Callithrix jacchus: one gene and its partners. The protein of the gene in region 3 interacts with the protein of the main gene of each other region in a biochemical or structural test. Links are inferred from orthologs where the notes say so. Each region holds a gene or a part of one and is shown on either strand. Other genes may lie near its edges. The genes, in order: DBF4, CHEK1 and MCM7.

What was found.
Region 1: of the proteins of MCM7 (region 3) and DBF4, one has a biochemical effect on the other in vitro, tested with the Homo sapiens proteins (2 studies listed by BioGRID). The link is inferred for Callithrix jacchus from reciprocal best matches to the Homo sapiens genes MCM7 and DBF4.
Region 2: the proteins of MCM7 (region 3) and CHEK1 form a complex in vitro, tested with the Homo sapiens proteins (2 studies listed by BioGRID, with this or other methods). The link is inferred for Callithrix jacchus from reciprocal best matches to the Homo sapiens genes MCM7 and CHEK1.

Annotation. Positions count from the first base shown.
Region 1 is NC_133512.1:61,834,634-61,844,965, forward strand, and holds part of DBF4 (protein DBF4 homolog A), read right to left. Parts: intron 9,233-10,332; coding exon 9,196-9,232; intron 7,861-9,195; coding exon 7,815-7,860; intron 5,249-7,814; coding exon 5,120-5,248; intron 4,672-5,119; coding exon 4,557-4,671; intron 1,140-4,556; coding exon 1,015-1,139; intron 1-1,014. UniProt on the Homo sapiens protein: Regulatory subunit for CDC7 which activates its kinase activity thereby playing a central role in DNA replication and cell proliferation. Required for progression of S phase.
Region 2 is NC_133511.1:25,250,558-25,260,889, forward strand, and holds part of CHEK1 (serine/threonine-protein kinase Chk1), read left to right. Parts: intron 1-4,206; coding exon 4,207-4,315; intron 4,316-4,502; coding exon 4,503-4,680; intron 4,681-4,925; coding exon 4,926-5,057; intron 5,058-10,332. UniProt on the Homo sapiens protein: Serine/threonine-protein kinase which is required for checkpoint-mediated cell cycle arrest and activation of DNA repair in response to the presence of DNA damage or unreplicated DNA.
Region 3 is NC_133503.1:13,479,042-13,489,473, reverse strand, and holds the start of MCM7 (DNA replication licensing factor MCM7), read right to left. Parts: upstream 5,211-10,432; 5' UTR 5,114-5,210; coding exon 5,083-5,113; intron 4,835-5,082; exon of another isoform or gene 4,656-4,834; intron 4,360-4,655; exon of another isoform or gene 4,044-4,359; intron 3,905-4,043; coding exon 3,825-3,904; intron 3,510-3,824; coding exon 3,345-3,509; exon of another isoform or gene 3,341-3,344; intron 3,174-3,340; coding exon 3,049-3,173; intron 2,969-3,048; coding exon 2,788-2,968; intron 2,493-2,787; coding exon 2,355-2,492; intron 2,072-2,354; coding exon 1,922-2,071; intron 1,732-1,921; coding exon 1,617-1,731; intron 1,528-1,616; coding exon 1,396-1,527; intron 1,164-1,395; coding exon 1,080-1,163; intron 588-1,079; coding exon 194-587; intron 1-193. Other genes in the region: AP4M1 (AP-4 complex subunit mu-1), read left to right, coding at 5,535-5,592, 5,700-5,788, 6,490-6,596, 6,680-6,776, 7,377-7,487, 7,580-7,660, 8,043-8,105, 8,806-8,872 and 6 more. UniProt on the Homo sapiens protein: Acts as a component of the MCM2-7 complex (MCM complex) which is the replicative helicase essential for 'once per cell cycle' DNA replication initiation and elongation in eukaryotic cells.

The DNA of each region.
Region 1 (10,332 bases), on a different chromosome or scaffold from region 3:
GTTTCTTAAAACTCCTTAATATTACCTAAAAGTTTGATAAAACTTTTTAGTCCGAATAAACGTTAAACTTTATGGTTCTATAACAGGAGTTGATGAACTATATAGTCTGTTGCCAAAATCTAGACTACAGTCTATTTTTCCAAATAAAATTGTATCAAAATACAGCCATATCCATTGTAAAATAAAGAAGCTAATTAGTTGCAACAGAGATCTTATGGCTCACAAAACCTAAAATATCAAATATCTGGCTCTTTATGGGAAAAGTCCATCAACTCCTTCTAAACTACAATGTCAAGAATGAGACTAATTAGTGGGGTGTAGTGGCATATGCCTGTAAACCCAATTACTCAAGAGGTTGAGACACGAGAATCTCTTGTACCTCAGAGGCAGAAGTTGCAGTGAGCCGAGAGAATGCAACAGCAGTCCAGCCTGGGTGATACAGCGAGACTCTGTCTCAAAATTAAACAAAAAATTTAAAAAAGAAAAAATTTTAGATAAAAAGAAAACTTAAAAACAATGGAAGTAAAAGTAGTCTAAGGTAAGCATCTTTGATAGTAGGGAAAAAGGGAAGGGAAGAAGTTACTGGTTTTTAACCATATTTACATCCTGAAAATACATATTCCTTCTAAGAACAGGCATACTGTGTTTATTTTTAGTTTAATAAAATAGTTTAATATTCTAGTATAATTTGTTTTATTTATGTATGTATTTATTTTTGAGATGGAGTCTCACTATCACCCAGGCTGGAGCACTGCAACCTCTACCTCCCAGATTCAAGGGATTATCCTGCCTCAGCCTCCCAAGTAGCTGGGATTACAGGTGTGCACCACCACACCCGGCTAATTTCTGTATTTTTTTTTTTTTTAAGTAGAGACAGGGTTTCGCCATGTTGGCCAGGCTGGTCTCCAACTCCTGACCTCAGGTGATCCTCCCAAAGTGCTGGGATTACAAGCATAAGCCACCACGCCCAGCCTTCTACTATAATTTAAAATTTAGGTTGATAGCACTAATTACCTTTTCTTTTTAGGTGTGTCCTTTTCATATTCCACAAAGTCAAAAACTAACTTAGATACAATATCATCAACAACTTGATACCGGTTACTCTGTGCAAAGTTTCTGTGTTGCTCACTTAGAAGGTGCTAAAACAAAATTAAAAACATGTATTAAAAAATTGTATTTTAAAACCAAGAGATGCCATTTTATTAAGGTTTTTTAACATTCTCATGCCCCTAAAATTAGGTTTCCAATAACTACTCCAAAGATAATATCTTTACTGACTTCAAAAGATGTTTAAAATAAAAGTCACTTCTGAGAAACCAGTAAAACTACTTTGGTTTTTAGTCTTCAGTGAGAAAAGACAAGTACTAATTTGTAGCTACAATGGAACTAAAAAGAATGAACTATGTCAGAAAACAAAAACACAGGTTGGGCACAGTGGCTCATGCCTGTAATCCCAGCACTTTGGGAGGCCGAGGCTAGCAAATCACCAGAGGTCAGGAGTTCAAGACCAGCTTGGCCAACATGGTGAAACCCCGCCTCTACTAAAAAAAAAAAAAAATCAGCCAGGTGTGGGGGGCACGTGCCTGTAGTACCAGCTACTCACAAGGCTGAGGCAGGGGAAACGCTTAAACCCTGGAGGCAGAGGTTGCAGTGAGCTGAGATGGCACCACTGCACTCTAGCCAGGGCAACAGAGTGAGACTCCATCTCAAAGAAAAAGGAAGATACAGATGGAGAGACACAACAGTAACATTTTGGAAAACACACTTCCCTCTATTACTTTGTCTTTAGGCAGTTACCACTAAGTAAGGCAGGACTTATAGAAAATTAATTACATATAAGTTAACATACAAGAATCCAGAAAGTAGATTAAACACAGGAACCACATTAAGTACTATGAAGTATTAAAAAAGCCAAGATTCATAATTAAAGAACACATTTGAAAATGAACAACAAAACAAATGATTTCAATTACCCAGTGCTCATAACAGAGTATACAGAAGTTATTCTCTTATTCTTAAGAACCAAAACTGCCAGGCGCGGTGGCTCACGCCTGTGATCCCAGCACTCTGGGAGGCCGAAAAGGGCAGATCACTTGAAGTCAAGAGTTTGAGACCCCAGCCTGGCCAACATGGTGAAATCCAGTCACTAATAAAAATACAAAAATTAGCCCATGCCTGTATTCCCAGCTACTGGGGGTGCTGAGGCAGGAGAACCTCTGGAACCTGGGAGGCAGAGGTTACAGTGAGCTGAGACTACACCACTGTACTCCAGCCTAGGTGAGAGAGCAAGACTCCATTTCAAAAAAAAAAAAAAAAAGGTAAAAAACAAAAGTAAACATGTTCACAGCATAGTGAGAGATAAAATTCATAGGAACAAAGTTCCTTTCGAATAGGTGGAATCTCCAGCCCAACTCTATCATTTGTCTATCAGCTGATCAGGGAATTGTACTTAGAAGCTTGCCTCCAGATGATCAGGAAAGATCTAATTTCTGTATCCCTAGTTTCATGCAGTTTTACATTTTGATGATTTGATTACAATTCTAAAAACATCTCCACTGGTCTCAAAAAAACACAATGCATCCTAGAACACCCATGTATTTCTTCCTTACTTGCAAGCTTTACCATACACAAATTATATATGCCCAGCAATAAAAATGAGCAATTATTTAAGTTTAAAAGGAAACATCACATTTGTAAGCTCTGATTCAGTCTACCAATGTTCTAGGAAGGAAAATTTCCAACTTTTATTTAGTTCCCTCTAATTTCCATTAAGTTCTTCTTATTCATCCTTAAAGTCTTAATTTAGAAGTCACTTGTGCTCAGTTGGGCCTTTTGGGACCCTCATTCTGCTTTAAGTAACCTCATTATTTATTCCCATTGCACTTCATACTTTACTTTTGTGACAGTCATCACATTTGCAAATTCGTATTTTCTATCTATGTACTTTGCCAGACCATAAGGTGTATAAGGGTAGGGATGTCACCTTATTTGTTACTTTATCTCCAGTATTCAAACGTATTTGTTAATTGAATCACTGTGAAACCTAACGTTCAAAAAAAATTTCTTTACTCTTGGCAGCTTAGAAACATACAAATGAAAACTGTAAAAACATGATCTTAAATTTCAATCCCAACCTCTGTGTTCACTAATTTTCCTTCTTTGTGGCAACCAGTGAACATTTTTTTTCATTTTTCAGCCTCGACATTTTCTGAGCACCAAATTAAGTATCCATTCCAGATTTTTTTTTTTTTTTTTTTGAGACGGAGTTTCGCTCTTGTTACCCAGGCTCGAGTGCAATGGCGCGATCTCGGCTCACCGCAACCTCCGCCTCCCGGGTTATTTTGTTGCTATACCAGCAAAGTAAAACTTCTGGACCAACACGTAATTTTAATTTTCAAAATGATTTTCAGGAAGGGAAAATATTTCTGAGATACTTTAGCTTCTGATTAAAAGCAATTTTAGACTAACTATAGTTTTCTCATTTATTACAAAAAAACAAAAACTACCACAAAACGCTAATATATTTTGGTTTATAAAACAAACTTCAATTCAGAGTCTGAAGACAGGTATGTTCAAGTATTATTCTTTCTCCTTAAGTTTCCCTCCATCTTTTACCAAAACCAAACCAAACACCAAAACAAACCTATCTACTACTTAAAAAATTCAAGTAACAGCTAACAATAAGCACTTACTATGTGCCAAACACTGTCCAAGGTCACATAGACAAGAAGCCAGCATTCAAACCTGGGCAGCTTGAATCCATAGGTGCTGCTCTTTTAATCAGTTTACAAACTATAGTATTTTCCCCATCCTCATCCTATATACTCTTTCCAACTCTTCCATTTCTTTCTCCTACCTCAATGAACTGTCTTTACTTCTTTCAACTCCTCTTCTCATTATAAATGAGGCTTTTTAAAAAATTGCTCAGGTTCAAAATCCTATAGTAACCATTGGACTACCATTTTCCCTTGCTTGCAACATCCAATCCATTGGCAAATCTTCTTGGTCCCACCTTTAAAACATATTCACAATCTGACCATGTTTCAGCATTTCTACTACGACTTAGTTTGGACCATCAATATCTATTCCTTGATCTCATCAATCATTTTAAATTGGGACTTTTGCACTTCTTTATCTCACTATCCAGGTCTCATTACTTCACTTCTCTCAGATCTCAAATGTCACCTCATCAGTTAGGTGTTCCTTGTCTAGGTTAAATACCAACATGCCCATTCCTATGTTATGTTTTTTCATAGCACTGATCTAATATTCTCTCTATCCTTTTTATTATCTCCACCACTACCCAATCCTCATCCCACAGAATATAATCTTCACAAGGGTAAGAAATTAAGTCTGTTTTGTTCAATGCTGCTTGCCCAGAGTGGTGATCAGTATGTAGTACTTAGTAAGTATTTGTTGAGTAAAAGTAATTTTCAATACTCATTTCCCCCTTGAGTTCTTAAAATGTAAAAAATCTCCATCAGAACAAGCTAAAATTTAAAACACAAGTATTACAGTTTTTGAAACAAGTTCCTAAAATATAAAATCACATTTACAGTTTCTAGATCCTCATATTTCTGCAAGCAACATTCACAATATCCTTTTTTCTTCTTCTCTTTCAACTGGAGTTGAACTGAGGTTCCACCATATTTATCGCCATCCGTTTGGATTCTGATGACAGAAATACATGGTAAAGAATTAACTGCTTAACCTAAGGAATAACTTTTAAAAATTTTTGTCCTAAACTATCACACACAGAATCTGCATAATTTACAGAGACTTATATCAGCAAGTACTTTTAATCATATTTCTTTATAATATGTTAAGAAGCAAACTAAGATTTAAAAAATAGTTTGAGAATATTTCAGTCATTCAAGATAAACTACACATTTTCATTATTTACAAATATTTTAAGGCCCTCCCTACCTCCATCTAAACAGATTCAGAATTCAAATCTAGTGTAGAGAGATTAAAAATATACAGAGGGAAAAGTAATCAGAATAGTAATTACAAACACAAACAACCACTATGGCATAAACCAAACTATTTCAAATCTTTATAAAGAACAATTGAGATGACATTCTGAATATTCCATCTAGAAGTAAAGATTCAAACAAACCTTAGTTTCACCTGAGTTTGCTTTTGCATACTAGATGGCTTTTCTACATCAAATGGACAGCAGGGCTTCGGAATAGAATAATTTATAAAAGGCATATTGGTCAGCTGAAGATAAAATGGCCTATAAAGTCTAAAAAAAAATAGACAAAATACATGAGATTCTTTATGATGAAAGAAAACAAATTTTAAAGTTTTATATTTCAAAATCACCTCATTCAGTGGAATCTGAAATAAACAACAGAAATCATTTAGGCTTCCCCCTTCAAAAATCCAATTTCTAGGCCTAATATTTTTAACATTTACACATTTTTAAAACTGTGACAAAATACACATAAAATTTACTACCTTAACTATTTTAAGTGTACAATTCAGTAGGATTAAGTATTCATAATGCTGTGGGGTACCATCACTGCTATTGGTCATCTTTTGCATGATGATGTATTTTCATCTTGCAAAATCTGAAACTCTGTTCCCATCAAACAGTAACTTCCCAACCATCCTTTTTCTCTGTAGCTCCTAACAACCACCATTCTACTTCCTGCTATTTATTTGACTAATGTAGGTGCTTCATGAGTGGGATTATGTAGTATTTTTCCTCTTATTTCACTTAGCATAATGTCCAAAGGTTTATCCATGTTGCATGTGTCAGAATTTCTTTCCTTTTTAAGGATGAGTAATATTCCATTGACTGTGTGCACACATATTCCACATATTGTTTATCTATTTCTTTGCTGATGGGCTTGGTTAACTTTCACTTTTTGGCTGCTGTGGACTTTTTAATAGGAGCCATCGTAAATAATGTAAAGTGGTATCTCATTGTAGTTTAGATTTGCAATTCCCTAATGATTAGCAATATTGAGCATCTTTTCATAAGCTTATTGGCTATTTGAATATCATCTCTGGAGAAATGTCTATTCAGTACTTTGCTCATTTTAAAAATTGGGTTGTTTTATGTTGTTGAGTTGTAATTCTTTATATATTCCAAATATTAACACCTTTATTAGATATATGACTTCTTCAACCTGAAAAAGCTGAAAAAAAAAAAGATATATGATTTGCAGTATCGTCTTCCATTCTTTGGGTTGCCTTTTTACTGTTATATCTCTTTAGGCACAGAAATTTTGTATTTTTGATATAGACCAATTTGATTACTTTACCTTTTGTCTGTATTTTTGGTGTCATATCCAATAAAGCACTAAAAATCCAATGCCATGAAGTTTTTCCCCTATGTTCTCTTCCAAGAGTTTTATCATTTTAGGTCTTTGGTCCATTTTGAGTTAATTTTTGCATATGATGTAAGGTAGGAGTCTAATGCCATTCTTTTGCATGTGTATATCTAGTTTTCTCAACACTGTTAAAAAGACTGTCCTTTCTCCATTAGATGATCTTCCTACCATTGCTGAAAATCATTTTCCCATAGGTGTGATGGCTTATTTATAGTCTCTCTATTCTATTCCATTGGTTTATATGTCTTTATTCCAGTACCAAATTGTTCTGATTACTATAGCATTATAGTAAGTTTTGAAGTCAGGAATTGTGTAAGTCCTACTTTGCTGTTCTTTTTAACGACTGTCTTGGGTATGTGACATCTGTTGTGATTCCATATGAATTCTAGGAAACATTTTTATTATTTCTGCAAAAAACATCTTTTGATTTTTGACAGGGAATGCACTGAATCTGCAGGTCACTTTGGGTGATATTAACATCTTAAAAATATTATGTCTTCCAGTTCATGAACATGGGATATCCTTTTGTGTACTAGTGTCTTCTCTAGGCCTCCTTTTCAATTGCACTTTTTCTTCATAGCAACACATTTCATAAAAAGCAGCTTTCAGTACAATTTTTGTAACCTCAGTGTGAGTACCCAAGAGAATTAACCACACATCTAAATAAGTAAATGGAAAGAAAAAAGAAAGTAACCTAATTCTCTCACAGCAGGCCTATTTATATCTACAGTCTTCATTAAGATTATCCTATATGGCTGGGCATGGTGGCTCACACCTGTAATCCCGGCACTTTGGGAGGCTGAGGCTGGAGGGTCACATGAGATCAGGAGTTAGAGACCAGCCTGGGCAACATGGTGAAACCTCATTTCTACTAAAAATACAAAAATTAGTTGGGCATGGTGGTATGCACCTGTAATCCCAGCTACCTGGGAGGTGGAAGCAGGAAAATTGCTTGAACTTGTTGGGGCAGAGGCTGCAATGAATTATGCTACTGGACTCCAGCCTGGGTGACAGAGTGAGACTCCATCTCCAAAAATCAAAACGAACAACAACAAGATTATCCTAAAATACTTCAGAGTGAGTTTTGGAAATCAACTGTGTTAGATGTTATACTTAGATTTTCTATTTCTAAATAGCATCTAATAATTTCTTTTTCACAAATGCAGGAGTAATCTTTAAGTATTGGTACTGCATTTAGCCATAGAATTACTTTAAATACTAAAAAATGTCATCATGATTTTTCTAAGCCAGCTATTTCAGAGACATCCACAACATACTGAAACCAAATTTAGTCTTTCAGCACAAATGAATTCATGCTACGTTAGATAACTTGTGCCGCAGGCACTTTAGTATAATATAAATCAAACACAAAGGAACCTAACAGTAGTAATCGAGCTAGCCTAATTAGTTAGGTAATCTTCCCCTTTAGTTCTGCACTTAAATCACACAGACTGGACTTAAGATACTTACTGGCTGATATCTTCTACTTTTACAAAAGGCTTTTTGAGTCTTCCTGCTTAAGAATATAAAAAACATATTAGTTACTTGCAAATACAGGAATTTTAAAAAATAAAGCAATTATGGCAAAACAAAACCCTCCCAAACAAAAAATCTATATATCCATTTTAAAGTTGTAAGCCTCAGATGAGGTACTTCCATTACCACCTCATGTCCAAAAATAACAGAAGATCTCTCTATGTTCTCAGAGTCTTAAACTAAATGAAACCCTCATATGAATACGATTCAGGAGGGTCATAAATTAGAACAGGAGAAAAACTACACTATTATTTTCACTGACCACAAACTGAAATTTAGCATTTCCTCCAGTTATAAATGTGACAAATCACTGGGCGTGGTGGCTCACGCCTGTAATCCCAGCACTTTGGGAGGCCGAGGAGAGTGAATCACAAGGTCAGGAGATTGAGACCATCCTGCCCAACATGGTGAAACCGCGTCTCTACTAAAAACACAAAAATGAGCTGGTATGGTGGTGGATGCGGGTAATCCCAGCTATTCGGGAGGCTGAGGCAGGAGAATCGCTTGAACCTGGGAGGTGAAGGTTGCAGTAAGCTGAGATTGTGCCACTGCACTCCAGGCTGGCAACAGAGCAAGACTCCCTCTCAAAAAAAGCAACTTTGGTACTAATAGAAACAGCCCAAATTTTCATATCAGTTATGAACTAAACAGACATCGCAAAGCATTTTTTATGCTTATTAATTCAAATGACAGTAGCAATTAGATTCACTGCTATAATCTGTTCTATGTAATAAAAAGCAAGGTTGGGTACAGTGGCTCATGCCTGTAATCCCAGCACTTTGGGAGGCTGAGGTGGGCGAATCACCTGAGGTTGGGAGTTTGAGACCAGCCTGACCAACATGGAGAAACCCTGTCTCTACTAAAAGTACAAAAAATTAGCTGGGCATGGTGGCACCTGCCTATAATCCCAGCTACTTGGGAGGCTGAGGCAGGAGAATCGCTTGAACCCGGAAGGGGGAGGGTTGAAGTGAGCCGAGATTGCGCCACTGCACTATAGCCTGGGACATAAGAGCAAAACTCCGTCCAAAAAAAAAAAAGCAAGTTATCACTCTTTCATAATTAAAAACCATTTTCATAACTAAATTTTAATGTAATTCATTTTCTTGGTAGTCTAATGATTAAAAAGAAATTTTTAAACACTATTCTGAGAATGTGGTCCACAGGCTTCACCAAACTTCACTAAGGATCTACATTCTAAAAAAGACCAAGAAAGCCCTGAATAAATCATTTAGAGGGTGGTTTACATGAGTTTAGAAGATCTTTTATGATTTTTCAAAAGCAAAGCAAATATACTTAAAAATATCAAGATACTTACTTCTTGTTTTTTGTGCACCGGTACCAACTCTTTTCCCCTAAAAAAAATAGCGAAAAGATTGGGTTTTAAAGGACAGTTAAAAGAGCAAATCCAACTGCTCAATATCCTCAAGATAAAAAAAATCATGCAGAAAAGTACTATATCAAGGATTATTCTTGCTTTGTTAAAAAAAAAACCTCAGACATTAAACAACAATCCTTCAAGAACTAAAGATTGTAACCACTAGAGTAGAATTCAGTAACTAAAACTGTTTTACAATACATACACCCAAGTACCATGCATTCTAACTATAATTGATTTGGACTTCTTAAAAAGAAATCAACCAATAATGAAAAGGTAGGTAGTGAAATACGTTTTTAAAAAGTCTTTTTGTTTTTTGAGATGGAGCCTTGCTTCGTCAACCAGGCTGAAGCAATCTCTGCTTCCTGGTTTCAAGTAATTCTCCTGTCTCAGCCTCCCAATGAGTTGAGCAGGAGCCTATTTTTATGCCTTAATTCAGCAAAATCTTTGTATTAAACTGAAGAAAGAAACTAGTCAACATTTACTAGTCTGTCAATTTAGGCAAAGATTCAATACGTCCAAGATGGTAATCAGTTCTACTGATAACAAGTAAAAATTCTGGACAACACTGAATAAGCAACTACCTGAAGATTGGGGAAAAAAATAAGCATGTAGATTGTGGAAAGAAGTCAAAACTGGAACCATCAGTCTTGGAGTTAGCAGCAGTGGCAGAGACAGCAGCTGAAACTTCTATACAAACCTTATCTTTCTGTCTGGAAGAACCAGGAATAAAGTTCTAGTAGTCCAAAAATACCACAAGAATCCCTATATTCTTTATTTCTTTTCTCCCACAATTCTGCTCTGAGGGTGGGCCCCAAACAGGAAGCTAAGGTTGTAAAGGTAGCACAAGCTTAAGCTAACATTGAGAAACCTTCACTTTCTGACTAAGACCTGGTAAAGAGGCCACTGTGAGCTGGAGATTAATCATAGAGATCAAGTTAGAAAGGGATCCATTCCCTGTATAAATCCACACAAGTACAGGGCTTAATTCAAAGCTGCACATGCTAAGGACAGACCCAAAGCAGCATAGCAACGGCTTTGAAAACTGAAACTGAGATTAGAACCACCACCCACAAA
Region 2 (10,332 bases), on a different chromosome or scaffold from region 3:
AACTTTTGAACCTCAAATTAAAACATCTGCCGTACTATCACAGTCTCCAACATGATTGTTGATATCATTTTTGTCATGATTCTTGAATATTTAAATATTTATTTGGATCATCCTGATATCCTGACTTTACTGTTACTTGACCTTTTCTCCTATAGTGATATTGTCTTTGAACACTCTGCACTGATGACCAGTATGATTTTTTCGGACTTCCTCCCTTAATATTCTGACTTCAACAATCCTTTGACTCTAGCTGGACTTGAAGTTAATTAATTCTATCTCTTTAGTCTCTTACCTGCTCCCTCTCTAGGTCCTTGATTCTGTTTTTACCTATCTTAAATCTTTAGGTTAGTCATTATAAATAACTGCTTTGTATTCATAATCTTCAACTTCCTTGTCCCCTTGTGTCTTCATCATACTTAGTGGGTAGAACCCAGTAAGTAGTTTCTGGGTTTAATCTAGTAGTTTTCTATGTACTCCACACTTGTATCTGCATAATGGATTGCAGCAGGAGAAAAATACCCAAAAACATTCACTTTAAATTCAGGATTACTAATCTTAAGTGGACCCTGAATTCTGCCTGGCATTTGGGCTTTATTTCCCCATGTATTTCATTATCCTGTTACCTTAAATCACGTTAATTCTCTCTTTTTTTTTTTTTTTTTTTTTTTTTTTAAGACAGGGACTTGCATTCACCCAGGCTGTAGCACTTCAACCTCTGCCTCTCAGTTCAGGTGATTCTTGTGCCTTAGCCGTCTGAGTAGCTGGGCCATGCTGGCCAGGCTGGTCTCAGCCTCAGCTTCCCAAAGTGCTGGGTTTATAGGTGTGAGCCACTGCGTCTGGCCCCTTAACTTTTATTATCTTCTTCCCCATTCTCTCTCTCAGTTGTTCACTCTGCTTCCTATATCACTGGGAAATAGAAGCAGCCACAAGACAACTTATGCAAGCTTCCACCACCATTTCCCCCTAACTAACTGCCTCTAAACTCATAATATTCTCCTTCGTCCTATATTGCTGTGGATAAATTGCTACAGGTGTTAAGCCAGATTTTTCTCTTACCTACTCAAGGACTTTGTCTAGCAGTTTTTCTGTCTCCCACATTATTAATTTTTCCTTCTCTATTGGATCTTTCTCATCAGCATACCAAATGCTTTTTCTCCCATTTTAAAAATCAGATCATAATGGTAATAAAATTTCTCTTAACCCCTCTTTTCTCTACCAATCCATTTTCTTCAAAATTGAGCATTTCTAAAATTGCTTCTCATTTCTAACACTTCAAAACTAATTTTGAGTTTTTGTTACCAAGTCACAGTGATTTTTGGAACATGTTGCCAAGTTCAGTGTAATAGTCCATCCTTACCTGTGGTCACCTGAGGTCTGAAAAGAATAAATGGAAAATTCTGGAAGTAAACAATTCATAGATTGATTTTATTTATTTATTTAATTTGAGACAGAGTCTCACTCTGTCACGCAGACTGGAGTGCAGTGGCATGGTCTTGGCTTACTGCAACCTCTACTTGCTGGTCTTAAATGATCCTCCCATCTCAGCCCCCTGAGTAGCTGGGACTACAGGTGTGAGCCATTGTGCCCAGCTAATTTTTGTATTTTTGGTAGAGATAAGGTCTCGCCATGTTGCTCAGGCTAGTCTTAAACTCCTGGATTCAAGCAATCGACCCACCTGAGTCTCCCAAAGTGCTGGGATTATGGGCATGAGCCACAATGCCCTACCATAGGTTTTAAATTGTTTGCTATTCTGAGTAGCATGATAAAATCTCGTGCTGTCCTGCTTCATCTCACCTGGGATGTGAATCATTCCTTTTTCTAGTATATTCATGTTCTATGTGCTACCTGCTTGTAACTCATTTAGTAGCTAATTTGGTTATTAGATCCAAAGAACATATGTAGGGTTTGATACCATTTGTACTTTCAGGCATCCACTTGAACATATCATCTGTGGATAAGGGGGACTACTGTAGTCAGTTCTCAGACATCTTGTTTTATCTCGTCAGTATTTTTTACAGTTGATCATGCCCTCCTCCTTTAAACACTTTCTTCATTTGGCTTCCAGCCATTCTACTCTTCTGATGTTTGTGCTTCTCACTGGTTGCTCCTTTTCAGTCTCTTTGGATGGTTTTCTTTCATTTGCTCAGCCTTCTACTACTGGAGTTCTCCAGGGCTGAATCTATGGATTTCCTTTGTTTTCTCCACACCCACTCCCTTAGTAGTAGTATTTGGTTTTGTGGCTCTGAAAAAAACTATATGTTGATAGTCACATTTATATCAACCTAGACCTTTCTTCTGAATTCCGAACTTGTATGTCTTAACTGCCCTCTCAAATTTCGCTTGAATGTTAAGCATCTCAAACTTGATGAGTTCCAAACTGTTACTGATCTTTTCGTTTCAAACCCATTTCTTTTCTAAGTCTTTTCCATGTTGGTTAACGGCAACTGCATTATTCTTATTATGCAGATCAGAAACCTTGAGTCATCCTTCATTTTTCTCATTCTCTTTTACTTGACACCCAGTCCACCAGGTAATTGTTAACCTCTATCTTAAAAAAAATTCTAGAATCCGATTACCTTTTTTCACCTCTACTGCTACCCTGTCATTCCATACTACTATGATATCTTTCCAGAGTGTTCTGATTTAAAAATAAATTAGAATATCTCATTGTTCTACCTAAATCCTCCAATGCTTTAGTTCTCACCAATGGTATAAGCTAAAATCAGTTCATGACCTGTGAGTTCTTACCCAGTTTTGTCCCTTACATTACCTCTCCAACTTCACTTCTGCTTTGCTCCCCCTTGGTCATAGCTATGGTGGTCTTCTCGTTCTCCAAAAACTCTAGGCACACTTCTACCTCACTGTTTTTGTAATGAATGTTCCCTATGCCTGGAAATGCTTTTTCCCATGGAACTTAGATGCGTGTCTTATTTTCTCACTTTCTTTGGATATTGACTTCAGTGTCATCTTTTCAATAAGCCTTTCCTGGCCATGCCATTTAAAACTATCCTCTTCTTTCTAATACATTTCTTAAATTTTTAAAGTTTTTACTATCTTGTGGACATATGCAGTCCAACACATTTCTTCATTTTATTTTCCTCCATTGTACATTTAGCTTATTGATTTTTAATTTTATTTAAATTTATTTTATGTTATTTTGTCTCTCCTCAATAGAATGTAGGATTTAAGAGGTCAAGGGTTTTTTTTCTGTTTTGCTCACTGCTGAATACCTAATACCTAGAATAATGCCTGGCACAGAGTAGATCTAATAAAATATTTGAATGAATGGATTAATAAATAAAAAGCAGGTTTAAAAAAAATTTTAGCATGTTTAAGTGGTTTGGGTACAGATCCTGTAGAGAGGAAGAGGCTGACAGTCTAAGAGAAAGGGAATGAATAACAGAGGATCAAGATCCCTCAGGAGGTAGAAGGATATGGGCTCTGGAACACGAGTAGAGTGATGAACATTCCATAGGAGAATGGAAGGAATGAAAGGATGTGTAGTAATACAAGTAACTTAGCAGATTTGCTGCGGACAAGTTGATGTAGTTTCTGTCTAATGGCTTTATTTTCTCTCTGAAATGGGAGGTGGTAGTTTAGGTACTGGACAGTAGTCTTGGAAATTACACAGAAGTGTAGTTTTGAAATGATCCTTGTGGAGAAAAGGAAAGGAAACTAACTAGAGAAGGAAATAGAATTATCTGGCAATATTGAGGTTCGGCTAGGGATTGTAACCATAAATTTATAGTGGCGTCATTTTGAGTATAATCTTCATTGTAAAGAATCAAAGAATGTTGGCTAGAGAAGATTCATAATATTTATTGTTATTATCATACATTTTTTTTATTTTTAAAAGTTCTAGTCCTTTAGCCAGGTCTGTCGTTTTCATGGAACATTTTTCTGTTACCCACAAAAGATGCCATTAAGATTGTGGCCTGAGCATACTTCACACTTGGAACACGCCTACAGGTCATACTTCGGTATTGTGAAATACCTAATTTGACAAGTGAATCTTAGTAATTTAATAACTTGACCACATTTTTTATAAAGTCATATAGGAAGACTTTGTTTTATATCTTGTAAATATTTTGTGTTAAATAAATAGATTTAGAAAGAGTTTTACTTCTTCAAGTTACCAGTTGGGCTAACTTAAAAACACATTTGCATAGAAGACTTGAAAGCATTTGTATTTTTTTTCTTTTTTAGGGGCAAAAAGGCCCCGAGTCACTTCAGGTGGTATGTCAGAGTCTCCCAGTGGCTTCTCTAAGCACATTCAATCCAATTTGGACTTCTCTCCAGTAAACAGTGCTTCTTGGTAAGACTGATAAAGATTAAGTCGTTTTTGATTGTAGTATTCCCCATGAAGAATAATACATATATGTATTTTTTTATAATAATCAACAATGGACATAATACTGTGTGAGAGTGTTTGTGTGATGTAAGAAAGGCATGATAGATTTTATTTTATTAAATGTATATTTCCTTCTGTCCTAATGCCTCAGTGAAGAAAATGTGAAGTACTCTAGTTCTCAGCCAGAACCACGTACAGGTCATTCCTTATGGGATACCAGTCCCTCATACATTGATAAATTGGTACAAGGGATCAGCTTTTCCCAGCCCACATGTCCTGATCATATGCTTCTGAATAGTCAGTTACTTGGCACCCCAGGATCTTCACAGGTGAGGGAATTTAATTTTTTAAATAAATAATGGCAGCTCTTTATTTGTTATTGTCTTAAAGTCCCTTTTTATTGTGAAAATCTTAAGATATATAACTTTTAAATCACATGGTTTTTTTTTTTGGTTAAAGAAGAAAGGGGAGGGAATCCTTAATGCAAAAGAATTTTAAGTCAGACTAAATGGCTATGATCTTACTGTCTTTAGTCATAATGGATTTATTTAGTTGTCTTCTGTTTGATATATAGAACCCCTGGCAGCGGTTGGTCAAAAGAATGACACGATTCTTTACCAAATTGGATGCAGACAAATCTTATCAAAGCCTGAAAGAGACTTGTGAGAAGTTGGGCTATCAGTGGAAGAAGAGTTGTATGAATCAGGTGTGTTTCATTGATTTTCATTATAACTTTTCCTGAAGAAAAATTTAAATAGGCCGGGCACAGTGGCTCATGCCTGTAATCCCAGCACTTTGGAGACTGGGAGGCCGAGGCAGGTGGATCACCTGGTTCGAGACCAGCCTAACCAACATGGAGAATCCCCATCTCTACTAAAAATATAAAAAATTAGCCGGATGTGGTGGCACATGCCTATAATCCCAGCTACTTGGAAGGCTAGGGCAAGAGAATCACTTGAACCTGGGAGGAGGAGGTTGTGGTGAGCCGAGATCATGCCATTGTACTCCAGCCTGGGTAATAAGAGTGAGACTGTCTCAAAAAAAAAAATTAAATATTCAAGTAAAAACTATCATTTGTATATTTTTAAAATACAAGCTGGGCATGGTGGCTCCCGCCTGTAATCCCAACTCTTTGGGAGGCCAGGGTAGGTGGCTCACCTGAGGTTAGGAGTTTAAGACTAGCCTGGCCAACATGATGAAACCCTGTCTCTACTAAAAATACAAAAATTATTCAGTATGGTGGTACATGCCTCTAATCTCAGCTTCTGGGGAGGCTAAGGCAGGAGAATCACTTGAAACCCATAAGACAGAAGTTGCACTGAGCCGAGATCACACCACTGCACTCCAGCCTGGGTGAGAGTGAGATTCTGTCTCAAACAAACACACTTAGAAATATATAGTAATTAGTTAATTTGAAAAATAAACTAGTAAAATATTCTTTACCTTAAGAAATAATGTATATTTTTTTCTTTTTTAGCCACTATGCCTGGTCTAAGAAATAATATTTCTTAAAAGGCCTTTTTAGTGTTATTAAAAATATTAGGTAGCTGGAATCATTATTTTCTTTAAAATTGTATATGCTTAAACTGTAGACAGTAACAGTTGACTGCCTACCCTGAAAGTCAAATACATTAGCAGTCCCATACTTTTTCCCATCTCCCATTATTGCAGCTGTCAGTTTTTATTGTTTATATTATTAGAGCATAAATATTGGTATTCTAAACTGTCTTTAAAGCTTTTCAGAAAAATGTTAACATCACGAAAGACAAATAGGCCAGCTGTTTTATATTGAAGGAGACTAAAGAGGCCTCCTGATAACTAAGTGCAATGCATGATCTTTCACTAGATCATGTATTTGAAAAAAAAAAAAAAATAACAGATATTGTTGGAACAATTGGGGAAATTTGAATACGGACTGTATGTTAGGTAATGTTTCTGTATTAGCATCAGATTTCTTGGGTGTGATAATACTGCGTTTTGTAGGAGTATATCCTTGTTCAAAAGAGAAACATATTGAAGGAAAGTTAAAGTGAAGTGATATCTTCATTCAGTTTAAACTTTAAAAGAAAGAAGGGTAAACAGCTACATAAAGACAAGCACACACATCTTGATAGATAAGACCAGTGAAGACTATATGGTTATTTATTGTACTCTTCTTTCAGTTTTCTATAGATTTGAGTTTTCAAAATTAAAAAGGGAAACTGTTACTGTGTAGAAATCTGAGGCCAGCCTGATATTCCTCTCACCTATAGGTGATTCACTCTTTTTCAGTTAGACTCATAGAGATAAAATTTGCATAATATAAAAATCATGACTTTAACCGTTTTAAAATTTTTAATGCAGTGATTTTTAGTATATTCACAAGGTTGTACAATCATCACCCCTGTCTAATTTCAGAACATTGCATCCACAGGGGGGAAAAAAAAGCAAAAAAAAAACCTTTGTACCTAGTAGTCACTCCTTATTCTTTATTCCTCCATTCCTAGGCTACCTGGAATCTACCTTCTCTCTTTAGGGATTGCCTTTTTTTGAACATTTTACATAAATGGAATCTTATAGCATGTAGTCCTTTAGGTCTGTCTACTTTCATTTAGCATAAGGTTTTCAAGGTTCATGGCATTGATCAGTACTTTATTCCTTTTTATTTTGGAGACAGAGTCTTGCTCTGTTGCCTAGGTTGGAGTGCTGTGATCTTGGCTCACAGCACCCTCTGCCTCCCAGGTTCAAGCAGTTTTCCTGCCTCAACCTCCCACACACCTGGCTAATTTTTGTATTTTAGTAAAGACAGGTTTTTACCGTGTTGTCCAGGCTGGTCTCAGACTCCCGAGTTTAGGCAGTCTGCCCTCTTCAGCCTCACAAGGTTGCTTGGATTATAGGCGTGAGCCACTGCACCTGGCTGTTCCTTTTTATGGCTGAGTAATATTCCATTGTGTGTATGTACTACATTTTGTTTATCCATTCATCCGTTGATGGACATTTGGGTTGTTTCTACTTTTTGGTCATTATGAATAATACTGCTACGAACAATCTTGTACAAGTTTTTGTGTCACCATATGTTTTCAGTTTCTTAGACATATATGGAGGAGTAGAATTGTTGGAACATATGGTAACTCTTCATTTAATTTTTTGTGAAACTGTGAAGTGATTTTTCCAAAGCACCTGTACCATTTTACATTCCCACCAATAATGTATGAGAGTTCTAATTTCTCTTCATCCTTGCCAACACTTACTGCCCCCGCTTTCTACTATAACAATCCTAGTATGTGTGAAGTGTTATCTCATTTTGCTTTTGATTTTCATTTCTCTAATGACTAATGATCTTGAGCATATTCTTATATGCTTATTGACCATTTCTTTATAACAGTGTCTATTCAGATCTTTTGTCCATATTTTAACTGGATTCTTTTTATTGTTGTTAGAGTACTTTGTACATTCTGGACACCGGAACCTTGTCAGATACCTGATTTGCAAATATTTTCTCCCATTCTGTGGGAGAAAATTCCTCCATTCTTTTCGTTTTTTTGTTAGTGTCCTTTGATGTACACAAGTTTTAAATTTTGATGAATTCCAGTGGATCTATAATTTTTCTTTTGTTGCCTATGTTTTAGTGTCAAATTTAAGAAACTGTTACTTAATATAAGATTATAAAGATTTATACTTTATGCTTTCTTTTAGATGTCCCAGCCTCCTAAGGAGCTGGGACTACAGTCTTAAAGTTTAGCTCTTATATTTAGGTCTTTGTCCTTTTTGAGTTAATATTTGTATATGGTATGAATTAAGGTCCAAATTCAAATGTTTGTATGTGAATATTCAGTTTTTACAGCACCATTTGTTGAAGACATCTTTTCCAATTGGATAGTCTTGGAACCTTTGTTGAAAATAATTGGTGATAAATGTGTAGGTTTATTTCTGGACTCAATTTTTTTTTCTTTTCTTTTTCCTCCCCCTGTGGCCTCAGTTCTTTGTTTCATCTATATGTCTGTGCTGTGCCATTACCATATTATTTTGTTTACTGTAGCTTTGTAGTGAGTTCTGAAATTAGAAAGTATGAGTTGGCTGGGCACGGTGGCTCACGCCTATAATCCCTGCACTTTGGAAGGCCAAGGCGGGTGGATCATGAGGTCAAGAGATTAAGACCATCCTGGTCAACATGGTGAAACCCTGTCTTTACTAAAATACAAAAAATTAGCTGGGCATGGTGGCGCATGCCTGTGATCCCAGCTACTCGGGAGGCTGAGGCAGGAGAATTGCCTGAACCCAGGAGGCGGAGGTTGCGGTGAGCCGAGATTGCGCCATTGCACTCCAGCCTGGGTAACAAGAGTGAAACTCTGTCTCAAAAAAAAAAAAAAAAGTATGAGTTGCCCAAGTTTTTTTTTTTTTTCAAGGTATTTTGGTTATTTGTGGCCCTTTGTTTTTCTATCTGACTTTTAGGATCATCTGATTTGTTTCTGCAAGAAAAAAATTTGGAATTTTAAAAGAGATTACATTGAATCTATAGATATACTTGGGGAATACTTCCATTTTAGTACAGATTGAGTCTTCCTTATTCAAGGTCCTTGGGAAAAAAAGTTTTGTGGATTTTACCTTCGTTTGGATTTGGAATATTTGCATATACATTGAGATAACTTGTGGATGGGACTCAAGATGAAGCATGAATTTTATTTATGCTTTGTACATATATTATACAAATAGCCTGAAGGCAATTTTATACAATGTTTTAAGTAATTTTGTGCAAGAAACAAAGTGTACATTGTACTATCAGAAGGCAAACTTATCAGGTGTGAAGTTTTTCATTCATGGCATCATGTTAGCACCCTAATAGTTTTGGAGTTTGGAACATTTTAGATTTCAGATTTTAGATTATGGATGCTAAACCTTAATCTTCCAATCCAATAACATGGGACATTTTTAATTTTTTAGGGTCTTTAATTTCTTTCAAGAATATTTTATAGTTTTCAATGTTCAAGTCTTGCACTTCCTAGGTTAAATGTAATCCTGTTTATTCTTTTTTTTAATCCTGATGCTGATGTAAATGGAATTTCTTTCAATTTTATTTTCAAATTGTTCATTGCTAGTATATTTGCAAATAAATTTTGTATATTGATCTTGTATCCTGAAAATTTGCCAAACTCATTTATTAACTCCAGTAGTTTTTTTTTTGCAAATTCTTTTGGTTTATATATATATGAAGATTATTTTTGATATATTAAAACAGTAAATTGTTTTACCTTTTTTTTCTTGTGATCTGGATGCCTTTTAATTCTTTTTCTTGTTCAGTTGTTCTAGATAGGACTTCCAACATTACGTTGAGCAGAAATAGTGAGAGTGGACATCTTTGTCTTGTTCTTGATCTTAGGGGAAAGTTTTGAGTCTTTCCACATTAAGTATGATGTTAGCTGTGGGGTTTTAGTTTTTATGATGAAAGAGTATTAGATTTTTTTCAGATGTTTTCTCCATCTATTGAGATAATCGTGGATTTTTTCCCCCTTTATTAATATGGTGTATTAATACCTTGGCCTCCTGTGCCCAAGTGATCCTCCCACCTCAGCCTCCTAAGTAGCTGGGACTACAGGTGTTCACTACATACCCAGCTTTTTAAAAATGTTTCTGTAGAGATGTATTCTCTCTGTGTTGATGAGGCTGACCTTGACCTTCTGGGCTCAAGTGATCCTCCTGAGTAGTGGGGACTACTGGTGTGCACCACCATGCCTAGCTAAATTGACAGTTTTCATCAGTCTATTTTGTCTAGTATCAGTATAGCCACACCAGTTCACCGGCTATCTTCTGCGTATTTTCATTTGTTTAGATGGAGTCTCACTATGTTGCCCAGGCTAGAGTGTTGTGGTTATTTATAGGCACAATTATAGTGCACCACAGCTTCAAACTCCTGGGCTCAAGTGACCTTCCTGCCTTGGGCTCCCAAGTAGGTGGGACTGCAGGGACATACTACCATACCCAGCTACCAACTCTCTTGGTTATTG
Region 3 (10,432 bases):
ACAAGCTTTCCTGGGAAATCCTCATTAGCATTTCAGCCCCAACCCACCATTTTCCTGAGAACCTTGGACCAGTCCCTGACACAAGGAGGAGGTTCTGGGATTTCCAGGAGCTGGGTATTTATTTTGATTCACCCCCGGCCCCTGCCACAGATCATTACAGGGGACCTCTCTTTGGGTGTTGAGCTTCATTCACCGTAGGTCATTGTCACGGTCAGGCCGGTCCTGAATCAGCCAGAGGAGGTCAAACCGGGAAAGCAGTGCAGCAGGCAGCTGTATGTTCTGCTCCAGGCTGCGGCGAGGGTTGTATCGACCATAGGCAGGGTTGGCAGCAGCCAGGATAGAGCAGCGGGCATTGAGTGTGGTGAGGATGCCAGCCTTGGCGATAGAAATGGTCTGCTGTTCCATGACCTCGTGGATGGCTGTTCGGTCGGCCTCAGCCATCTTGTCAAACTCATCAATGCAGCACACGCCCTGGTCAGCCAGCACCAGGGCTCCACCCTCTAAAGTCAGTTCTCCACTCACGGAGTCTCTCAGCACAGCTGCTGTAAGTCCCACTCCTGAGGAGCCCCGGCCTGTTGTGTACTGGCCTGGAAGAGAAGAAATAAGGAGCCATGTTAGGAGATAGAAAGGAACGAGAGAGAGAGCAAGCAAAAGACAAGAAATGAGCCAGAGAGGGGGGGCTGCGCTGGGATTGTTCCACCTGCCCCAGGCCTTCCCCGGGATGCCCAAGGTTCTGTGGGGCGCTGAGGCAGGAGAATCACTTGAATTCAGCAGGTGGAGGTTGCAGTGAGCTGAGACCACGCCACTGTACTCCAGCCTGGGCGACAAAGTGAGACTGTCTCAAAACAAAAACAAACAAACAAAAATAATAATAATAAAAAAAAGCCCTTTTTAGTAGAGACGGGGTCTCACTATGGTGCCCAGGCTGGTCTCAAACTCTTGGCCCCAAATGATTCTCCTGTCTCAGCCTGAGAGCACTGAGATTACAGGTGTAAGCCACTATGCACCCCCACTTTTTGAATAAACCCTGTGGTCCTGTCTGTCACTATGTTCACCCCTCTCAAAGTCCAACTACTTACTGCGGGGGGCCAGGCGATCGATATATGACAGAAGCTGAGACTTGGCCACACCAGGATCCCCCATCAGACAGATGTTGATGTTGCCTAGAGGAAGACAGGCAGCCCAGGAATGACTCTTCTCCCAGTGCAAGTTGGCCAACAGCAGAGCAATTTTGAATTCTGCCTCCCCCAACACCTAGCATTACTTCTAAGCCCTCCCTGTGTCCATGAATCGAAGACGCCCACTCTTATACTGTGACCTATGGGGACACTTGTCATCCTTTTTTCCTCCCAAATGACTTCATCTACCCTGAGCCTTGCCCTTTTTTCTTCTTACCCCTGATTTTCATGCCTCGAGGAGACTGGTCCACACCCCCCACTAGCAGGAGCAGCAGTGCCTTCTTCACATCTTCATGCCCATATATCTCTGGGGCAATTGAAGCTGCCAGCTTTTCGTAAAAATCCTCCTCTGTGGAGAATTTTAAGGTTAAGGTATTTTGTGGGGGAAAATGGGGGGGTAGGATGTAAACGGAATTTCCTCTCTCTCCTGAGCATCACCTGCAATCTGCCTCAGCTCCTCCCTGCTGAGCTCTCCAGCCCCAGACTCATCATCCTCACTCTTGTTCATCTTCACAATCCGATGGGCTTCCAGGTAGGTTTCTGAGAGTAAACCCTTAGGCAGGAAAATGTCAGGATACAGATGCAATCCTTAGAACTTACCCATCACCAGATTCCCTAACAATTTCTTGATAAAGCACTGTGTTGTTTTGTTTGGTGCTTTGCTACTCACTTTTCTCTGTATGGGTACAGTGGGTGAGGGGAAATGGGATGATCTGTTCCTCATATCAAACTCCCTTCCTTACCTGTACCACCTGTCGGAACCCAGTGCGCAAGACTGGCAGGAAGATACCAGTGACACTGACATGGTCTCCAGGCTGGGCGATCCTTGTGTTCTCTCCTTCTACCAGCACTGTGATACTACGAGGGATATTTCCCACGGGTACTTGGTCACTCTAGGGGAGGGAAGAGCACATAAGGCTCAGGAGAAATAAACAAGGACCCAACCTTCCCTCCCTAGGCATCCCACGCCAAGACTCCCTGCCTGCCCAGCCACAGATAAGCCCACAGGACGGAAGCTGAGACTGCCTTTCTCCCCTTGCCAAGGCTCTCAAGAAACCCCAGTTCCACCTCACTCCTGCACTTCCCTCTTTTGTTCTTCTTGCCATTCCACCAGTGACTACAGGATTCAAGTGGACTCCTGATCCACCTGCCCAGGGCCACATACCCCAAACTCACATGTTCTTGCATCTTCATCTCCTGGAATTTGATGAATTTGGAGCCCCGTGTCTGCAGATACAGCCGCCCTCCTGAGCGGTTGGTTTGGCACTCCTGGCTTGGGCACATGATCAGAGGCATGAAAGTGGGAGACTGAATCTAGGATTGAGAACAGAAACACCAAAGGAAGTCAGAAGAAAAACAGCCCCATCTCGGTCTCTTGAATCATGTTTTCTCTTCATGGCAGACATCTTCTGAATCAAGAACTCTTTGAGCTTATTCTAGACAACAGAAGACACCCAGAAAATAGAAAGACCACTACATACCCAAGAATGAAAAGTGAACACATAGGTAGCTTTTACAACCAGAAAAAACGATAGGCATCATGGATCATATCAATTTCTATAAAATGACTAAGTGTGAAGTGCTTTCCTGCTCCTTCCTCCACACGTACCGGCTGGTAGGTCTCTGCCCCGCACTGGTCACAAGTGTAAGTGGCCACTACCATCTTGGGTTTGACTTCAGAGACACGGGTGACGATTCCACGCACAGTCACCAATTTCCCCACAGAGTCAGCTCGCACATCCCGGATCACACGAGGCTTGTTGCTGCTTGGGCCTTGAAAATACAGCTCACTAAGAGGAGAAAACAGTCACAAACAAGATCCTGGAGTCACAAACCAATCCCTACATCCTTCCCAACAGAGACCACTCACAATCTGCGCATGAGTTCAGCGGGATACTGGTTCTGGGGGCTTCGGGCCATCCCAGGGTCCCGAGTCCGCTGCTCCATCATAAGCCGATGTTCAATATAAACATCCAGGACATCTTTATTTACCACCTAAAGGAGAAGAGCAGAAAAAAATGAGTAACAGGATGGGGAAAGGAGAGCACAGACAATGCCAGGCAGAAGTGCCCCTGCTTTCTGCCTGGCTCCGAAAACATCAGTATCTGAGAAGCTTCTTAACAGAAGCTGAAACGCCTTGCCCTGCATTGTTCTCCAGTCACTCACCTCCCTCTCCTTGTACTGAGGCAGCAGCTCTTGTACCGCATCAGCAAACAGCTTTGCGTAGCGCCTGGCATTCTCACAAATTGAGTCCACCAACTCAGGGTCATCCTCAGCTACATCATCCAGGTCCACGTACAGAGCCACCTGTTCCCTATGAGCCAGCCGAACCTCAGGTGGGAAAGAGACAGCAACACCTCAGAGCCATGTTCACTTGTTCAGTGTTCACGTGTGAAGATGCATCACTGAGAGCTCAGCACGGGCTCTGGGCATCCACAGGGGAGAACATAGCACCTCAGAGAGCACACTCACTTCTCAGCCCCCAAACTCTCTAATTATTATGAAAATACTATAGCATCACATTCTCTTACCAGATATCAAATGCCCTGATAAACATGTCAGAAAAACATCCTTGATGAAACAAGCCGCTTCTTAGGACTTCTTAAAACCCGACTCCTCATTCTCTTTACCCAATCTTAGACTCACCAATTGGTTCCCATACTTGAACTGCTTCTTCCCAAGTTCATCATCCTGGTAGAACTCTTGTAAGAACTTCTTAACCTTTTCTGTAACGTAAAAGGTAAAATCATAAGACACAAACTTTATATTACTGCCCATCCCTCTGACAGAAATCTAAGACGCCTATTTTCACTTAAAACACGATTTATGAACTAGTTAACGATATGAGCATTTAAATAAACCTACCGAATTCTCCCCAAAATGGGTATAACTCTTTTTCACAAGTTTGTTTTTAATCAGCGAAGAATAAAGAGGTCGTGGCAGTTCACAGGATGATCCAACATCGTCTTCCCAGGGGAATTCCGGTCCCTACTTTAAAACCCTAGCGCCCTTCCTCATCGGCGCCCCACACTCCGATCTCAAGGTTCTCAGCCTTCCTTCCACCCCTATGATCCCCCACCTTCTTTGGGCCCCTGAGCCCCTGATCTCGCCAGGACCTCCGCCATCAGGCGGGTCGCGCACCCCACCCCCGCTCCCGCCAGCGCTTCCGCTCTTAGTAAACAAAGAAGCACATGGGACCGGATTCCAGCCGCCTCACAGCCCGGGATTCCTCCGCCCAGGGCGGGAGCCCATCCAGCCATTGGACAACACGCCTGGGGCCGCCGCGATCCCAGCCCACTACCGCCTTTCCGGGGCACGAGCGAAGCTCCCGGTTCCCAGGCACGCCCCCTCCCCTGGGCCACAGCTCTCTCCGAGGCCGCTGCGCGGAAGGACACTGTTTACACGACACTCCCTCCATCCGCGTCGCGCCACTTCCGCCCGGCTCCACTTCCGCTTGGAGGGCGGCCTCAAACGGCCAATCCTGGTGCGTAGCGGCCCGGCCTGCCCGCCCCCAGGGCCTCCGCGCGCCTCGGGAGGACGCGGGAACTGGGGAATGCCCAAAAGCGCGGAGGAAAGCAGGCCCGGAACCCCAGAGTCCTTAGGGTACTCCGAGGTCTTGGGCGCGATTCTCCCCTATGCAGCACCCCCCCAGCCAGGTTAGCGCCCCCAAGCCCCCAACTCCATGACCCTAACACCTTTACTACGTGGGATTACCAGCTTTTCTTCAACATGGATGCCACCTGCGCCTCGTGGGCCTCAGCCGGGCGGCCGCCCGACCCTGCCTCTAGCCTTGTGGTCCCCAGAACTTGCTGATCCCGGCTCCACAAGACCCCAGCTCACACCAATAGGTGTTCCCCGGGAGGCTCCCCGCGCAGGACGCCCTCCCAGGCTCGTAGAGCAGTACCTTTCTCGATCGCGTAGTCCTTCAGTGCCATCACTACCGAGGCCCGTACGGCAGCGCTTGGCGGACTCAGAGGTCTGGGTCCCGGGCAAGCGGAGAACGTCCGCGCGGTGGACTGTGGCTGACCAACCGAAATTGGCGCGAAACGTCGCCCCCACGTGACCGGCGCCACTGCCTGCCGGCCAATTGCAGAGGCCGGCCCTCTCCCCGCCTCCAGCTAGCCTCAAGCCAATCACCAGGAGGACCTGGAATGAGTGACGGGGAGGCGGTGTGGGCGTCGGGAGGGAATCGCCGAGCTAGGCTGGGCGGGCGTCTGGTTTCCCGCGGTCCGAGCTGGCTTAGGCGGAGCAGAATCGCTCTTAAAGGGCCAGCGCACGCGTGTTCCTTTGTTCCGGGGCCTCAGGGCGGGGCAGGCCCAACTTTCGCCGTCTTCTCGTTTACTCTCCAGAACGGCCATGATTTCCCAGTTCTTCATTCTGTCCTCCAAGGGGGACCCGCTCATCTACAAAGACTGTATCCTAGACCCGCGGGGCTGGGAAGGGGCGGAGGTGTCGGGCGGGAGGGGCGCCCGGGGCCAGCCCGTGTCGCAGGCTTCTTCACTGAGTTCTTCCACCCGCCAGTCCGTGGGGACAGTGGCGGCCGGGATGTGGCCGAGCTCTTCTACCGGAAGCTGACGGGACTGCCAGGAGACGAGTCCCCGGTTGTCATGGTAACCACTGGCGGGAGGCGGGTGGGGAGCAGGGAGCCGGCGCCCACCTGGCCCGCCGGCTCCCTCCCAGGGCTGATTCCTTGGTAGCTTCCACTTGGGATGGGGTGCATTCTTCCATATAAAACTAACAAGAGGCCCGGTGTCTCATGCCTGTAATCCCAGCACTTTGGGAGGCCGAGGGGGGCGGATCACCTGAGGTCAGGAGTTCGAAACCAGCCTGGCCAACCTGGTGAAACCCCCGCCTCTACTAAAAATACAAAAAAATTAGCCAGGCCTAGTGGTGAGCGCCTGTAATCCCAGCTACTAGGGAGGCTGAGCCAGGAGACTCGCTTGAACCCGTGAGGCAGAGGCTGCAGTGAGCCGAGATCGCCACACTGCACTCCAGCTTGGGTGACAGAGCAAGACTACATCGGGCAGGGGTCGGGGGGGGGGGGACGTTGGGACAAAAAAAACTTACATCAGGTGGCAGCAAAACACCAGGCCCAGCTCCCTTTATGACTCCATCCTCAGCAACTAGGTGTAGCTACTGTAATTAACCCCGTTTCCACATTGGGAAGCTGGGTTCAGGAACCTGTCATGTATCTCCCGAAGTCACTGCTACTGTGACTAGTAAGAGGCATCGGGATCCGAGCTCAGGTCTCCTGGGTTCTGATCACCCCAGCTCCTTTTTCCTAATGCTACTCTACCTGCCTGTGTCTCAGCATCACGAGGGCCGTCATTTCATTCACATCAGACACAGCGGCCTCTATTTGGTGGTCACAACTTCAGAAAACGTTTCTCCCTTCGGCCTCCTAGAACTGCTCTCCAGGTGAGGAGGGCTGGGCTGGACACCTGGTAGCTAGTGGGGGTCTAAGAGGAGGAGGAAATGCATACTCCCAAGTGTTTCTTCAGGTTGGCCACCCTTCTGGGCGATTACTGTGGCGCCCTGGGTGAGGGGACCATCTCCCGCAACGTGGCTGTGGTCTACGAGCTCCTGGATGAAGTGCTGGTGAGAATCAATGATCCCCTTCTGTGCCCGCCCCCCAATTCCCCTGGAGATACTTCTGCTCTTCTACTGCGGGATGCTGTGGTTGGGAGACCAAGTCTACTCCTTTTTTTTTTACCTTTTAGAGATAGGGTCTTTGCTCTGTCACCCAGGCTGGAGTGCAGTGGTGCAGTCATAGCTCACTGTAACCTGGAACTCCTGGGCTCAAGTAATCCTCCTGCCCCAGCCTCCCCTGTGCCCAACTAATTGTTTATTTTTTATGGAGACAGGAGTCTCTGGCGCCCAGGCTGGAGTGCAGTGGCTGGATCTCTGGTCACCGCAACCTCTGCCTCTTGAGTTCAAGTGATTCTTCTGCCTCAGCCTCCTGAGTAGCTGGGACTACAGGCACATGCCACCTGCCTGGCTAATTTTTTGTATTTTTAGTAGAAATGGGGTTTCACTATGTTGGTCAGGCTGGTCTGGAACTCCTGACCTCATGATCCACCTGCCTTGGCCTCACAAAGTGCTGGGATTACAGGGGTGAGCCACTGCACCCGGCCCCCACTTCACCTTTTTTACCCCTTCCCTCCACTGACTTCTCAGACTGTCCTTCTTTTACGCTAGGATTATGGCTACGTACAGACCACATCTATGGAGATGCTGAGGAATTTCATCCAGACGGAAGCTGTGGTCAGCAAGCCCTTCAGCCTCTTTGACCTCAGCAGTGTTGGCTTGGTCAGCAGAGAAAAAGAGGAGGGTGAGGAAGGAGAAGGGGTGTTGCCTGGGGTTGTCAGACCTGAGGATTGATTGCTTTGGATACTTTACAGTTTGGGGCTGAGACACAACAGAGCAAAGTGGCCCCCAGCAGTGCAGCCAGCCGCCCCATTCTGTCCAGTCGCTCTGACCAGGTGAGAGAGGGATCCATGGGGTCCAACCTTGTGGTTTTGCTCTGGGACCCCAGAGTCCAAGATTTTAGGTTGGGCACAGTGGTTCATGTCTGTAATCCCAGCATTTGGGGAGGCTGAGGTAGGCAGATCACCTGACATCAGGAGTTTGAGAGCAGCCTGGTCAACATGGTGAAACCCCATCTCTACTAAAAATGCAAAAATTAAAAAAAAAAAAGATCTTGGTACGTTTTCCACCTCTCCTAGATGTGGGTATCCCTTCTGGCACCTGTGTCCCTACCCTAGAGCTGTAGCTTTGACCATTCTTCTGTTCTTTCTTCTGTCTGTCCACTTCAGAACATAGACTGTTCTGCTTCCAACGACCCAAATCCTCTCTCTTTCTCAGAGCCAGAAGAATGAAGTTTTTTTGGATGTGGTTGAGAGATTATCTGTACTGATAGCATCTAATGTAAGTTTGAGCTCCCATCCCTTGAGCTGAGGACAAATGAGATTTGGGACACATGTTGGGGTGGCTAAGACTCCAGCAATGGCTGGGCACGGTGGCTCATGCTTATAATCCCAGTGCTTTGGGAGGCAGAGATGGGATAATTACTTGGGGCCAGGAATTTGAAACCAGCCTGGGCAACATAGCCAGATCCTGACTCTACAAAATACAAAAAAATTACCCAGGCATGGTAGTGTACACCTGCTGTCCCAGCTACTTGGGAGGCTGAGGCAGGATGATCGCTTGAGCCCAGGAGATTGAGGCCTCAGTGAGCCAGGATGGCACCAAAGCACTCTAGCCTGGGTGAGAGAGCAAGACGCTGTCTCTTTAAAGAAAGAAGTCAGCACGGTGGCTCATGCCTGTAATCCCAGCGGTTTGAGAGGCCGAGGCTGGTGGATCACTTGAGGTCAGGAGTTTGAGACCAGCTTGGCCAACATGATGAAACTCCATCTCTACTGAAAAGACAAATTTAGCCAAGCGTGCTTGCAGGCACCTGTAATCCCAGCTAGTTGGGAGGCTGTGAGGAGAACCGATTGAACCTGGTAGGCAGAGGTTGCAGTGAGCTGAGATTGCACCATTGCATTCCAGCCTGGGTGACAGACCAAGAGTCTGTCTCAAAAAAAAAAAAAAAAGAAAAATTCCAACCTTGACCTCTGCCTCTCAGGGCTCCCTACTGAAGGTGGATGTGCAGGGAGAGATTCGGCTCAAGAGCTTCCTTCCCAGTGGCTCTGGTGAGGCATCTGCAGGCAGGACCCAGGGTTGGGGTTGGGGCAGGTTCCTTGATGTTTTACACCGTGGAGTTTGCGAGCTCTCCTAATGTTCTTTCCTCTGCCAGAGATGCGCATTGGCTTGACGGAAGAGTTTTGTGTGGGGAAGTCAGAGCTGAGAGGTGAGGAGAAAGGGTCTGTCTCTCTCTGGGGTAGGTCTCTCATTGCCAGAGAGTTCATGGAGAGAAGTCAGAGACGGATCTTCCCCCTCCTTTCTCCCTCTCCCAAAAGGAGTCAGGAGAGAAGTCTCTCTTTCCAGGTTATGGGCCAGGAATCCGGGTCGATGAAGTCTCATTTCACAGCTCCGTTAATCTGGACGAGTTTGAGTCTCATCGAATCATCCGCTTGCAGCCACCTCAGGGCGAGGTCAGGATTGGGGTAGCCCTGTAAATTCTGTCCACCATGGGGAAGGGGGCAGTGTGGGGTTGAGGAGACCAAACTGACCCTGTTGCTCTCTGGTCTCTCAGCTGACTGTGATGCGGTACCAACTCTCCGATGACCTCCTCTCACCACTCCCCTTCCGGCTCTTCCCCTCTGTACAGTGGGACCGAGGCTCAGGCCGGTGAGACCATTTCCTGGGTTCCAGAAGTACCTTGGAGCCCAAGAGAGGATGTGTATGTTCCCAACACTCACTGCAGAGTGGGGGTGGTGGTAGAGGTGATGAAGTGCAGATTGGAAAAAGGCTTGGGCTGGGCATGGTGGCTCATGCCTGTAATCCCAGCACTTTGGGAGGCTGAGGTTGGAGGATCACTTGAGCCCAGGAGTTCCAGACCAGCCTGGGCAACATAGTGAGACCCAGTCTCTTCAAAAAAAAAAAAAAAGGAAAAAGCTTTGGCTAATGGAGTTGGGCTGGGCTTCAGCTCTTTGGGGTACAGCCCACACAGCCCTGCACAGAGCCCCCTGGTGGGGAATGGTGAGATGCCAGTAAGAGATGGCCCGAGTCATGGTGTTTTATTCTCTCGTCCAGGCTCCAGGTTTACCTGAAGTTACGATGTGACCTGCCCTTGAAGAGGTAAGAGTGGAGGCCAGTGAGGCCGAGTTCAGCTCTGTGGGATAAGAGACAGGGCCAGGACATCTGCTGCTACTCTCTTCAGATGCACCTGCCAGCCTCAGAATCCAGTTTAGGTAGAGGCTGTAGCATTTGGGAAGATGGGGGGCAACTGTGCTGAAATCCCATTGTGACATTGAAGGGGAACAGGACAAGGGACCATGCTTTCCTGGGGCTGACTTTGTTCCCGTCTCCTCTGTAGCCAAGCCCTCAATGTCAGGCTGCACCTCCCCCTGCCTCGAGGGGTGATCAGGTAAGTGCGTGTGCCCTGGGAGGTAGCAAGGCACAGGTAGGCGGGGAGTGAGGTCAGCACAATGGGCCTGCCCAGAGAAGGTGTCAAGCTCAGCATCTTTCCTCTCCAAACTCCAGCCTTTCTCAGGAGCTGAGCAGCCCAGAGCAGAAGGCCGAGCTGGCAGAGGGAGCCCTTCGCTGGGACCTGCCTCGGGTGCAAGGAGGCTCTCAACTCTCAGGCCTTT